3 linked regions of the Macaca mulatta genome follow. The protein of the gene in region 2 purifies or fractionates together with the protein of the main gene of each other region. This does not show direct contact. Links are inferred from orthologs where the notes say so. Each region holds a gene or a part of one and is shown on either strand. Other genes may lie near its edges.

Region 1 (3,649 bases), on a different chromosome or scaffold from region 2:
GGCGGATCACGAGGTCAGGAAATCGAGACTATCCTGGTTAACACGGTGAAACCCTGTCTCTACTAAAATAATACGAAAAATTAGCTGGGCGTGGTGGCGGGCGCCTGAAGTCTCAGCTACTCAGGAGGCTGAGGCAGGAGAATGGTGTGAACCCGGGAGGCAGAGCTTGCAGTGAGCAGAGATTGCGCCACTGCACTCCAGCCTAGGCAACAGAGCAAGACTCTGTCTCAAAAAAAAAAAAAAAAAACAAAAAACAAAAAAAAACAAAGCAAGAGAATAGATAAAAATTAATTTCCTTTATACTAATAAAAATAGCTTTGAAACCTTGAAGTGAAAATTTAAATATTACTATCATTTTCAGGGATGAATTGTATTTATCAGATTCCTAAAACGTACGATTTATGTGAAGATTACAATGGATCATAGAAAAAATATTAAATCTTTTTTTTTGAGACGGGGTCTCCCTCTGTCACCCAGGTAGGTACCTTTAAGGCACCTGCCACCACGTCAGGCTAATTTCGTATTTTTCACAGAGATGTGGTTTCACCATGTTGGTCAGGCTGGTCTCAAACTCCTGACCTCAAGTGATCCACCCGCCTCAGCCTCCCAAAGTGTCGGGATTATAGGCATGAGCCACCGCGCCTGGCCAATTAAATCTTACAGTTTAATTTCTGAAGTTTATTAAATAAGCCTAAAATATGTTCATATTTTCAAAATGTTGGTTATTTGTTAAAATCAAGTGATTTTCAAAATGGGTAAAATATTATCAGGCTTTCTCAAGTTTATAAGAAACACACTTAAACTGACACAAAAAGGTTACAACTAGAGAGCAAATTAAAAATAGGCAGATGCTAAAAGCAGGAGCAGCAATAGTAAAATAAAGAATTTGGCCAGGCGTGGTAGCTCACCGCCTGTAATCTAAGCAATTTGGGAGGCAGAGGCGGGTGGACTGACTGAGATCAGGAATTCAAGACAAGCCTGGCCAACATGGTGAAGCTCCGTCTCTACTAAAAAATAAGAAAAATTAGCTGGGCATGGTGGCAGGTGCCTCTACTCCCAGCTACTCGGGAGGCTGAGGCAGGAGAATCGATTGAACCTGGGACACGGAGGTTGCAGTGAGCCGAGATTGTGTCACTGCACTCCAGCCTGGGCAACAGGATAACTCTGTCTGAAAAAAAGAAATAAAATAAAGTAAAATAAAATAAAAGAATTCAGGTGCAAAGTATTGAACTGGATGAAGGTAGAAGACATTTTATATGTTAAAAAATGTAATCCACCAGGCTTATATGTAATGCATCTTTCTATGACAAAGACATTACTGAAATATACAAACTATTCAAAACAACAAAAAGTAACTAAAAATGCATAATCATGGAGAGGTCAAGTAGACAAATTAAAGTATAATACAGAAGATTTGAATGATATAACTAGCAAACTTGATTTAATAGTTACATATGGAACTTGTAAACCCCAAACCAGAGAATAATCACTCTTTTCAAAAACCCAAAGAACACTTATGAAAGTTGGCTACAAAGAAAATATTAAAAGTCAAAAATTGGAAACTGCAAAATTGATACTGGTCTGTCAACGTCAGGTAAGATAAACCTGGCGAACACTCACAGCAGCAATAGAAGGCTTCTTTCCATCACCAGCAGGTGGATGAGTGACGTCGGCTCCCAAAAAGATCACTGGTTGCTGGAACACAGAAGGTCTTCAACACATTTTGAAAAAGGGTTAGATATTTCATTTTTTCATTATTCATTTATCTGTTTCACACAATTGCAACATAACTTCAAGTTATTGACAGCACAGAGGAAGTCCTATGTAATCCAAAGTCTTACTCACAGCAGAATTTTGTCTAAAATAGTGATGCTGGTGGTTGAAAAGGGCTATATTCATATTAACAGATGCTAGTATTCTCCAACATGGGCACAAAATTATAAACTTCCTTATGATCCACAAATTTTTATCACTGTTTAAAAATCAACTTATATTTTAAACCTGTGTAATCTCTCAAGGGAAAAAGGAATCATTACACTTTAGACTGGAAGGGGTTTTGGGAATCTACTACTCCCACGCCCTGGCCGAAAGTATAAATTTGAGTAACATATATTCAATGGTCATAAAGTAGCTAGCATTTCCTTTTATTTTACTTTATGTTATTGTTGTTTTTTTGAGACAGGGTCTCACTGTGTTGCCCAGGCTGGAGTGCAGTGGTGTAATCACGGTTCACTGCAGCCTTGACTTCCCCGGGCTCAGGCAATCCTCCCACCACAGCCTCTGGAGTAGCTGGAACGACAGGCACGTGCCACCACACATGGCTAATCTTTCTATTTTTTGTAGAGATGAAGTTTCACCATGTTGGACTTGTTGATAAAATTCTTTATTTATCTCATTTATGGATCTCATCTCATATTGAACAGGGGTAGAAAGTAGAGGTGGCATGGAAAAAGAGGAAAAAACATGGTCCAATCCTTATTCTAATGTTTATTTGTGGTGGGTAGTTAACTTTTTGGAGGCCTAATTGCTTCAACTATTAAAAGGGAACTTGTTCAATTCTCTGAAAAGTGGCCTCTTCCTCAGAGACTTGCACAATAAGCTACCTTCTGTTTCTAGGTCGTGGTGTCTCACACTTCCTAAGAGTTCTAGCTCGAAGAAGGGTGATCGAACAGTAATATGCTTTCTCACTGACTACAGCAGGAGGGCTGATATGGCTTACTTAATTGACTAATCTGGGCCCCCAGGTCCTTCTGTCCTTCACATTCCAGGTAAGTGAGCAGCCTCATGAAACCAGATTGAAGATGATTACCAAATAAAGTGAAAATTCTTCAAGCTGGGCTCTCCAGTGAGAAATCAATCTCTGGATACTTTCTGGCTAGGTAAGAGGTACTTTGCATACTAAATGAAAATTGCTGGGGCTCGAGCCTGCTCCCACCCTGTGGAGTGTACTTTCATTTTCAATAAATCTCTGCTTTTGTTGCTTCATTCTTTGCTTAAAACATAAAACAAAGGGCCGGGCGCGGTGGCTCACGCCTGTAATCCCAGCACTTTGGGAGGCCGAGGTGGGTGGATCATGAGGTCAGGAGATCGAGACCATCCTGGCTAACATGGTGAAACCCCGTCTCTACTAAAAATGCAAAAAATTAGCCAGGCGTGGTGGCAGGTGCCTGTAGTCCCAGCTACTTGGGAGGCTGAGGCAGGAGAATGGTGGGAACCCGGGAGGTGGAGCTTGCAGTGAGCTGAGATCGCGCCACTGCACTCCAGCCTGGGTGACTGAGCAAGACTCTGTCTCAAAAAAATAAATAAATAAAAAATAAAACAAAATTGTGGGGGACATTTTCACAAGAGAATCTCTGACCCTTGCCAATCCAGATTATTTTAATTTTTTACCAAAATGCCTATGAATCTCCCACGGTAGGAATTATTAAGGGGGTCTCTTACACAGCTCTTATAGTAGTTAGATATGGTCATATGTAGACAAATGAAGATATAAAAAATAATATTTTCATAAGTGATTAGCATATCTTACCTTTGATGAGGTACAAGAATATTATTGATTCCTCCGAGTTTAACATTTATCTTTAGGCACAAGTTTGAGAGAGTTTGAGGAGATGTTTTTATTACATTCTTGACTTGAACACATTGTGTG
Region 2 (3,649 bases):
AGGCCCTGCCCCACCCCCAAGGAGCATGCAGGACGGTGGAGGGGGCTGCCCACGTTTTAGTAACACTTTGTGGTCCTGCTGGCAACGGAATCGCGGCGGCACCTCCCGAGGCATGTAGCGGGCGGCGCTTGGCGGTTGTCCGTTCGGCACTGCCACCCTTTTGGCATTGTTGCCACCATTGACTGGTGGCGATGGAGAGCTGCCAATTGGGCTGGCGGCCGTTGGTTGGCTTAAACTTGGTTTCGTCACTTCGGGCACTAAAAGAGAGGGGTTGGGAAACAGTCTTTGAAATACATCAAATACATTTTTTCTAAAACTTTAAATAATTTTATTATTTTATTGAGAGATGGAGTCTTGCCATGTTGCCCACGCTGGTCTCGAACTTGGGCTCAAGGGATTCTCCCACCTTGGCTTTCCAAAGTGCTAGGATTACAAGAGTGAGGCACTGCGCCTGGCCAAGATTATTTTTTATTATTTTATTATTATTTTTTTGAGATGGAGTCTCACATTGTCGCCTAGGCCAGAGTGCAGTGGTGCAACCTCCGCTCACTGCAACCTCTGCCTCCCGGGTTCAAGCGATTCTCCTGCCTCAGCCTCCCAAGTAGCTCGGATTACAGGCGCCTGCCATCACAACCAGCTAATTTTTTGTATTTTTAGTAGAGACGAGGTTTCACTATGTTGGCCAGGCTGGTCTCAAACTCCTGACCTCGTGATCCGCCTGCCTTGGTCTTGTATTGGGATTACAGGCATGAGCCACTGCGCCCAGCCTATTTTTTATTTTTTTTTTTAGATGGGGTCTTGCTGTATAACTCGGGCTGGAGTGCGGTGATCTTGACTTGATGCAACTTCCACCTCCAGGGCTCAAGTGATCCTCCCACCTCAGCCTCCTACGTAGCTGCGACTATAGGCATACACCACCATGCCAACTAATTTTTTTTTCCTCTTCTAGAGACAGGGTTTCGCCATGTTGCCTACCTAGGCTGGTCTCAAACTCCTGAACTCAAGCTATTTACCCACCTCGGCCTCCCAAAGTGCTGGGATTACAGCTGTGAGCCACCACACCTAGACCCTGGCTAAGATTATTTGTAAGAAAGCTTACATGGTACCAATTCTAACAAAGTAACTTCTCCTTTCACTCTACTCTCAAGGGACATAGTTATTCCAAATTCTCCACCATCTCTTCACAGTTTACTGAAGGCAGGATGAAGGTGGCGGCTAATAGTGACATGAATTTAAACACAGCAAGATCATGGAATACATTCCATCAATTAAGGGGGAGATGGAAGCGATCATCATTCACTCCCCTAAATCAACAGTGGAATTAATGCCCTGGAGTGCTGCCTAGAAGAGTTAAATGTCCATGGCAAAGTCCTTGGGAAAGGGTTCAAGCCTCAGTCCAAGGGTCCCTTCCTTTCATCCACATTCTTTTTTTTTTTTTTTTGAGACAGAGTCTCGTTCTGTCACCCAGGTTGGAGTGCAGTGGCATGATCTTGGCTCACTGCAAGCTCTGCCGCCTCCCGGGTTCACAACATTCTCCTGCCTCAGCCTCCCAAGAGGCTGGGACTACAGGCGCCTGCCACGACACCCAGCTAATTTTCTTTAGAGATGGGGTTTCACCGTGTTCGCCAGGATGGTCTCGATCTCCTGACCTCGTGATCCGCCCGCCTCGGCCTCCCAAAGTGCTGGGATTACAGGCGTGAGCCACCGCGCCCGGCCCTCATCCACATTCTTAAAAGATCTACCCCTGAGTAACCTTCCTTGAAGTCCCCGGCCTAGGTGAGCTAAACATTCTTCCTAAGTGTTCCTGGAACACATCATCCCGCTCTCTCTACCATGAAAATTCTCCATTCAAAAGTCCATCTATCTCTACCACAGAAATTCTCCATTTATAAGTCCCATCTCTCTCTGCCACGGAAATTCTCCACTTACAAGTCCTTCTCCCTCACCAGGCCATGACTTCCTGAGGGCAAGGACCTATCTTTCATCTTTTCTTTTTTCCTTAGGGCATGGCACAGAGTAGACTCTTACAAGAAACTCCAGGTCTGGAAAATCACAAACTCAGCTTGGTTTTGGTTTCTACAGCTACCTGGACTCAAAGACTTGCACCGCTCTCTGTGTAAATACTAGAAATGTTACAAATCTTTTTGCTTTTGTTAAATGTAAATACTTTTTCTATTTACTTTAAATAATTCGATTTTTTGACCTCAATTTTAAAAATGGCCCGCATACAGTGTGGGAATGTCGGGGCAACCATGAAGCTGCACTCTGCCAGATCCTCTGGCTCTCCCCTTGAACCTACAGAGAAGGCTCTCTGAGATCTGCACCTCCCTCACTACATGCTGCCAAAAGATCACTACCCTCTCCATAAACTCTGCCTGGCAAATAGAGGCTGGAAGTCGTACAGAAATAATCATCAAGCCTGATAGTTCAGATGATTCTGAGGCCCAAGTCCCTGCCTCCCAGGGTAACGTCAGGGCCAGCTCTGCGGGTAACGCTGCTTTGACTGCTAAAATGATGCTGGGCCAGCATGTCGCTTGTTGAACTGGCTCCTTTATGAGAGAGATACAGCATCATCAGAAATCAGGCGGCCCAATCTATGCCACTACCGCACATTAACACACTGTGGGTGACAGGAAGTGCCTGCAGCAACTTCCAGGCGACCCCATGTCTAACTTCAGCCAATCACAAGGCAGCACCAGGCATCCCAGTAAGGGGAGGGGGAGTGGAGGTCACAGGATCCAAAATCTGATAAGCATAATAAATGTGTGACTTAAGAAAACAAAACTAGTCGGCTGGGCGCGGTGGCTCACACCTGTAATCCCAGCACTTTGGGAGGTCAAGGCAGGTGGATCACAAGGTCAGGAGTTCGAGACCATCCTGGCCAACATCGTGAAACCTCGCCTCTACTAAAAATACAAAAGTTAGCTGGGTGTGGTGGCGTGTGCCTATAGTCCCAGCTACTCAGGAGGCTGAGGAGAATTGCTTGAACCTGGGAGGCGGGGCTTGCAGTGAGCCGAGATCCTGTCACTGCACTCCATTCTGGGCCACAGAGCAAGACTCCGTCTCAAAAAAAAAAAAAAAAAAGAAAGAAAGAAAATAAAATTAGTCATTATCTAATATTCATGACCTATAATAGATGGATACGTAACTGGTAAATGAATGAATGAAGATTATTTAATATTAATTTTCTATCTGTTATTGGCGGATTCTATAGCATAGGGCATTCGCAATCCCCTTTTATCTTATTATGAGAATAAACAAGAAGTTGGCAGAGACTGGAGAAATTCATCCAAACTGGTTTTTAGGACAGAAAGAGCTATGTTTCTGTAAGGCTGCCCTTCTATAAAAGGTCTAGAATCTTCATTATAAGTTAACCAGGTCTACTACATACTTTTAACTCAATCCAGAAAAACAAGACAAGACAGAGTGACCTAAAGGACTGAGTGCTGAACTTCAGTTTGACTCACTTTAAAACATTCACAGCACTGTTTCAACCGAAGAAATTTGGTAGGTATCACGTATCATGTAAGATTCCTTGCAAAAGTTCCTCAGGGCACTTTCCCACCACATCAGAGACAGAATGGATTGTAAATGATAAAGTCATTATAAAATGGGAACACACCTCAACCACTTTCCTCCCAATACAGTG
Region 3 (4,313 bases), on a different chromosome or scaffold from region 2:
CCTAATGAAGTCACTTTATCCTCTCTGAACCTCACTTTTCTCATCTGTAAAATGGAATAGCTACCTGCCTTGCCTACCTCCCAGAGGATTAAATGACCTAATAGTTATAAAGGCACTTTACAAACTGTAAAGTACTGCAAACAACATATTACCATAATAAGTGGTAATCTAATTAATTATATTTCTGAGTATTGGCAGAAACTGAAACGGGTTGCGGGGAGGCGGTGGTGGGGGGCAGACAGAATAAGACTAGACTAAGGTTTCAGGGACTGTTCAAGTGAGGAGGGCACAAAGCACTAGATCCAGGTGTGCTCTGCCAGAGAAGCAGGGATGATTCTCCAGGTTCTAAAACAGCCTGGATGAATCATCCCACAGGACGATCAACTCCCTTTGCTCTGATTCTATGCTTAGCAGGCAGCTACTTATTAGTTGGGTTTCCAAGGTACTGCAGCACCAAAAAAGGAGTTTGCTAGAGAGCAGACAGGAAAATATTCCACTCAACAGAAAAGATCTATGTGACATTTTGGCTTATTCATTAGTGTCTTATAAATATAGTTAGTGAGAATTAATTTTCCACAATCTGAACAATCCTGAGTGAACCACTAAATCCTCAAACCTGCAAAAGCTAAAATCAAACAAACAAACAAAAAAAAGAGTCCCTGGGCAGTGCCTAACATCACCAGGTTGATCCTTTCCATGAAATTCAGTTTATGCCCACAGTTACACAGTTTCTTTTGATATCAGCTCATAAATGCAACAGTTGTTTCAATTATGAATTACTAGGGGGAGGGAAGAAACATTTGTTGAGCATCTATAGGCACTAGTCTCTATAGTGAGACTTCTCATATACTCTCATTTCATTCTCTCAACAATCTTACAGAACATAATTATTATTACCCTCAATTTAGAGATGAGAAAATGAAAGTTCAAAGGAATTAAGTAATTTGCCCAGGGTCATACAACTCTTACATTACTATATTGAATTTGAACAGAAGTCTGTTACATTCCTAAAGACCTGATCATGTCTTTAGCCAGGGGACATATCTGAAGTTAACCTGGCATAATACACTGAAGTTTATCAAATAATATTAATGCGGCAAGCCAATTTATTTTTAAAAGGCATATGAAATTTGATTATGAGGGCCTTTAAACAATACTTGAAGAAGCAAATTAGGGTGGAGTTTAATCACTTAGCTATGCAAACAAGTGCTAAGTAAACAAACCTGCCAAGTTTCCAAACTCAAATGGCAACTCAAATTGTCTACGCATTAAAAAGACGAAACACTCTACGACTAAGATCATTATGTAGGTAAGATTTGAATATTAAAGTTAATTCCACCACAGCCCCTAAACCCTGCGCTACTTAGCCAAGGCATTAGAAACCTGTTGGGCTTTGAGGTGGAAGCACCAGGCCCCAATACTCAGGGCACTCATTACAGCCTGGAATGGTTCCTATGGTTTGGATAGAGAGAAATAACCAGAGGCCATCCATATCCACAACAAATTACAGTTTCCAAAGCACTTTCTCCTTCATTTGATCCTCACAACCACTCATAACCCAATTAGAAGAGAACTCAGGGCACTGAAGCCTGTGCTGGAGCAGACTGGCTGGCAACTCCCGTGTCACTCAAAGGCTGGCCCGGACCACTCTGTGACTAACACACAGACTGAGTAACAGATAGAGGCACAGAACCATGTTCTTCGGGACATCAGGGCCTTTCAGAAAGGATGGGCATTTTGTCTCTTGACCTTCAGAGATCATGAGAGGTGTTTGGATGAAGTTCTTCTTCCTCATCTGAAGGCTCTGGACCGTCTGCCAATGCAAAGAAAAACAGGGGCGCGGCCCCAAACCAGGACTACCGGCTACTAGCTGGCAGCGGGGCCCTTTTCCCGGTCTGGGCCAGGCCTCCGCGCGCACTGGGCAGCGGATCGCCCCTTCTGAGGCCCAAACTACCCTCGCCGCGATCCCGGGCACAAATCATCTCCCCGAAGTGGGGCCAGGAGTGGCCTCCGCCCGGCGGAGCGGGTCACCTTCCCGAACCTCCCCCTCGGACCTCAGGATCCACCCAACGGCCGTCTGGGGCGCGGTCACCGCCCCCCAGGCCCGGGTCAGCTCCCTCTGCTTCGTGCTGCGGCGCTCGGGTCCCCTTCCCCGAGGCCTGGCGGCCCAAACCCGGCTGGGCGACGGGGCAGCCAAAGTCCCGGCCGCCCGCCCCGGGCCCCGGGTCCCGGGTCCCGCCCCTACCCGAGCTCGCTCCTCACCGGGTCCCAGCGCCTCCATGGCGGCGGCGGGGGCCGCCTCGCCCCGGTCCCCGGCGCCTCCCGCTCCGGGCCCCGCCGCCGCCGCCGCCGCCGCCGCGTAACGCTTGATCTCCGGAATATTGGCGCTGGGGTGGCGCCGCGGAGACGCGGGCGCTGGGTAGGGGGCGGCGGCGGCGCCCGGCCCGGGGACAGGGACCCGGCTCCGGCTCTTCCGGCCTCAGCGACAACAAAAACAATCCCCGCCGCCGCCGCCGCCGCCAACGGGAGCGGGAGCGGGAGCCAGCGCGCGCGCCCGCCGGGAGGGGAGGGGGCGCGGGGTGCGCGGGCCCGGGGTCCCGGCGGGCGGAGGGGGCGTGCGCGGGCCCAGGTGCGGGGGTCCACCGAGCCCGGCGGGGGGCGAGGCGGGTCGGCGGGACGGGCGCGCGCCCGGAGGGGGCAGTGCCCGGTGGACGTGTCGGGCACGCGCCCGCTGGCCCGCTCTGCCCCGTCTGCCCGAGGACGCCGTCCCGTGGCCAACGGCTCTGGGGGCTACGTGCCATCCCCCCAGGGCGTCCTGCAAAAGATCTGGATTCCAGTTCCGCCGACCCACAGATTCAGTTTTCCACTTCTGTGAGTGGAAAGTGTGCTGAGATTCACAGGAGCCACCTCGCCTCCCTCTTCCCTCCTCCCACCCCAGATCGCTTCTGTCATCCTGTCTTTTAGGGTCACCTTAGAGGCAGCAGTCCTCCTTCATCCCTTCATCCAGCACCACACACCCAACGGCGCGTCCCTCTCCGTATAGCCGGAAGGCACCACGGGAATGGACTCTGATGAATGATGCATTCCCTCCCCGGTCCCATGACAAGCGCCTCTGGTCAGCAAATCACCAGTCACTTTAGAAGAGAAAGGTCTTGGCCGGGCGTGGTGGCTCACGCCTGTAATCCCAGCACTTTGGGAGGCCAAGGCGGGTGGATCACCTGAAGTCAGGAGTTTGAGACCAGCCTGGCCAACATGGCGGAACCCAGTCTCTACTAAAAACACAAAAAATTAGCCGGGCGTGGTGGCGGGCGCCTATAATCCCAGCTACCTGGGAGGCTGAGGCAGCAGAATCGCTTGAACCTGCGATGCAGAGGTTCCAGTGAGCCGAGATGGGACCATTGCATTCCAGCCTGGGCGACAGAGTGAGACTCCATCTCAAAAAAAAAAAAAAAAAAAGAAAAAGAAAAAAGAAAGAGAAAGGTCTTGCTTTCTTGGATGCTTTCCCCTTAGCAGACAAGAGCCAAGGGAGCAGCACCACCTCCAAGGCAGCATGGTCAGCCCAGCAGGCCCGGCATCTTCAGGGCTTTCAGTAAGGACTTTGAGTGGGACAACATTGGGCAACAGGCCAAGAAGCAGTTTCTAGTCAGCAGAGTGAAGGAGCCCCTTGTCCACCAGTTGAAAAGCTATGATGAGTGTGTGTGTGTTGTATTCTTTGCTGGGGCATAACATAGCAAAGTACCACAGACTAGGTGGCTTAAACAACAGAAATTTATTTTCTCACAATTCTGGAGGCTGAGAATCCCAGATACGGTATAGGCAGGGTTGGTTCCTTCTGAGGCCTATCTACTTCACTTGGTAGATGGTGGCCTTCTCCCAGTGACTTCACATGGACTTCCCTCTGTGCGTGTCTGTGTCCAAATTTCTTCTTCTTATAAGGACAGCAGTCATATTAGAGTAGGACTCACTCTAATGACCTCATTTTAACTCAGTTACCTCTTCAGAGACCCTGTTTCCAAATACAGTTACATCCTGGGGTGCTAGAGTTAGGACTTCGATATACAAATTATTGGGGTGGGGGACAATTTAGCCCCTAGCTTGTGTGGTAGAATATTCATTTGAGCACCTACCATGTGCAGTCATAGAGCCAGCTAGTTTTTTTTAATGTAATGATAAAAAAATGTTAGCATCACACCCTGGTCATGCACTCTGCTATGGGCTTCTCATGTCACTCAATCTTTACAACCACCAGTAAGGTAGATATTGTTAAGAAAGGTATTTGTACAGATGATGACACCAAAGCTCAGGGAAGTTAA

The links.
Region 1: the proteins of TNRC6B (region 2) and AGO3 purify together in Homo sapiens (affinity purification with mass spectrometry; 6 studies listed by BioGRID and IntAct, with this or other methods). This does not show direct contact. The link is inferred for Macaca mulatta from reciprocal best matches to the Homo sapiens genes TNRC6B and AGO3.
Region 3: the proteins of TNRC6B (region 2) and AGO4 purify together in Homo sapiens (co-immunoprecipitation; 3 studies listed by BioGRID and IntAct, with this or other methods). This does not show direct contact. The link is inferred for Macaca mulatta from reciprocal best matches to the Homo sapiens genes TNRC6B and AGO4.

Annotation. Positions count from the first base shown.
Region 1 is NC_133406.1:204,774,249-204,777,897, forward strand, and holds part of AGO3 (protein argonaute-3), read right to left. Parts: coding exon 3,530-3,649; intron 1,712-3,529; coding exon 1,621-1,711; intron 1-1,620.
Region 2 is NC_133415.1:11,266,930-11,270,578, forward strand, and holds part of TNRC6B (trinucleotide repeat-containing gene 6B protein), read right to left. Parts: intron 258-3,649; coding exon 1-257.
Region 3 is NC_133406.1:205,006,317-205,010,629, forward strand, and holds the start of AGO4 (protein argonaute-4), read right to left. Parts: upstream 2,889-4,313; 5' UTR 2,802-2,888; coding exon 2,263-2,801; intron 1-2,262.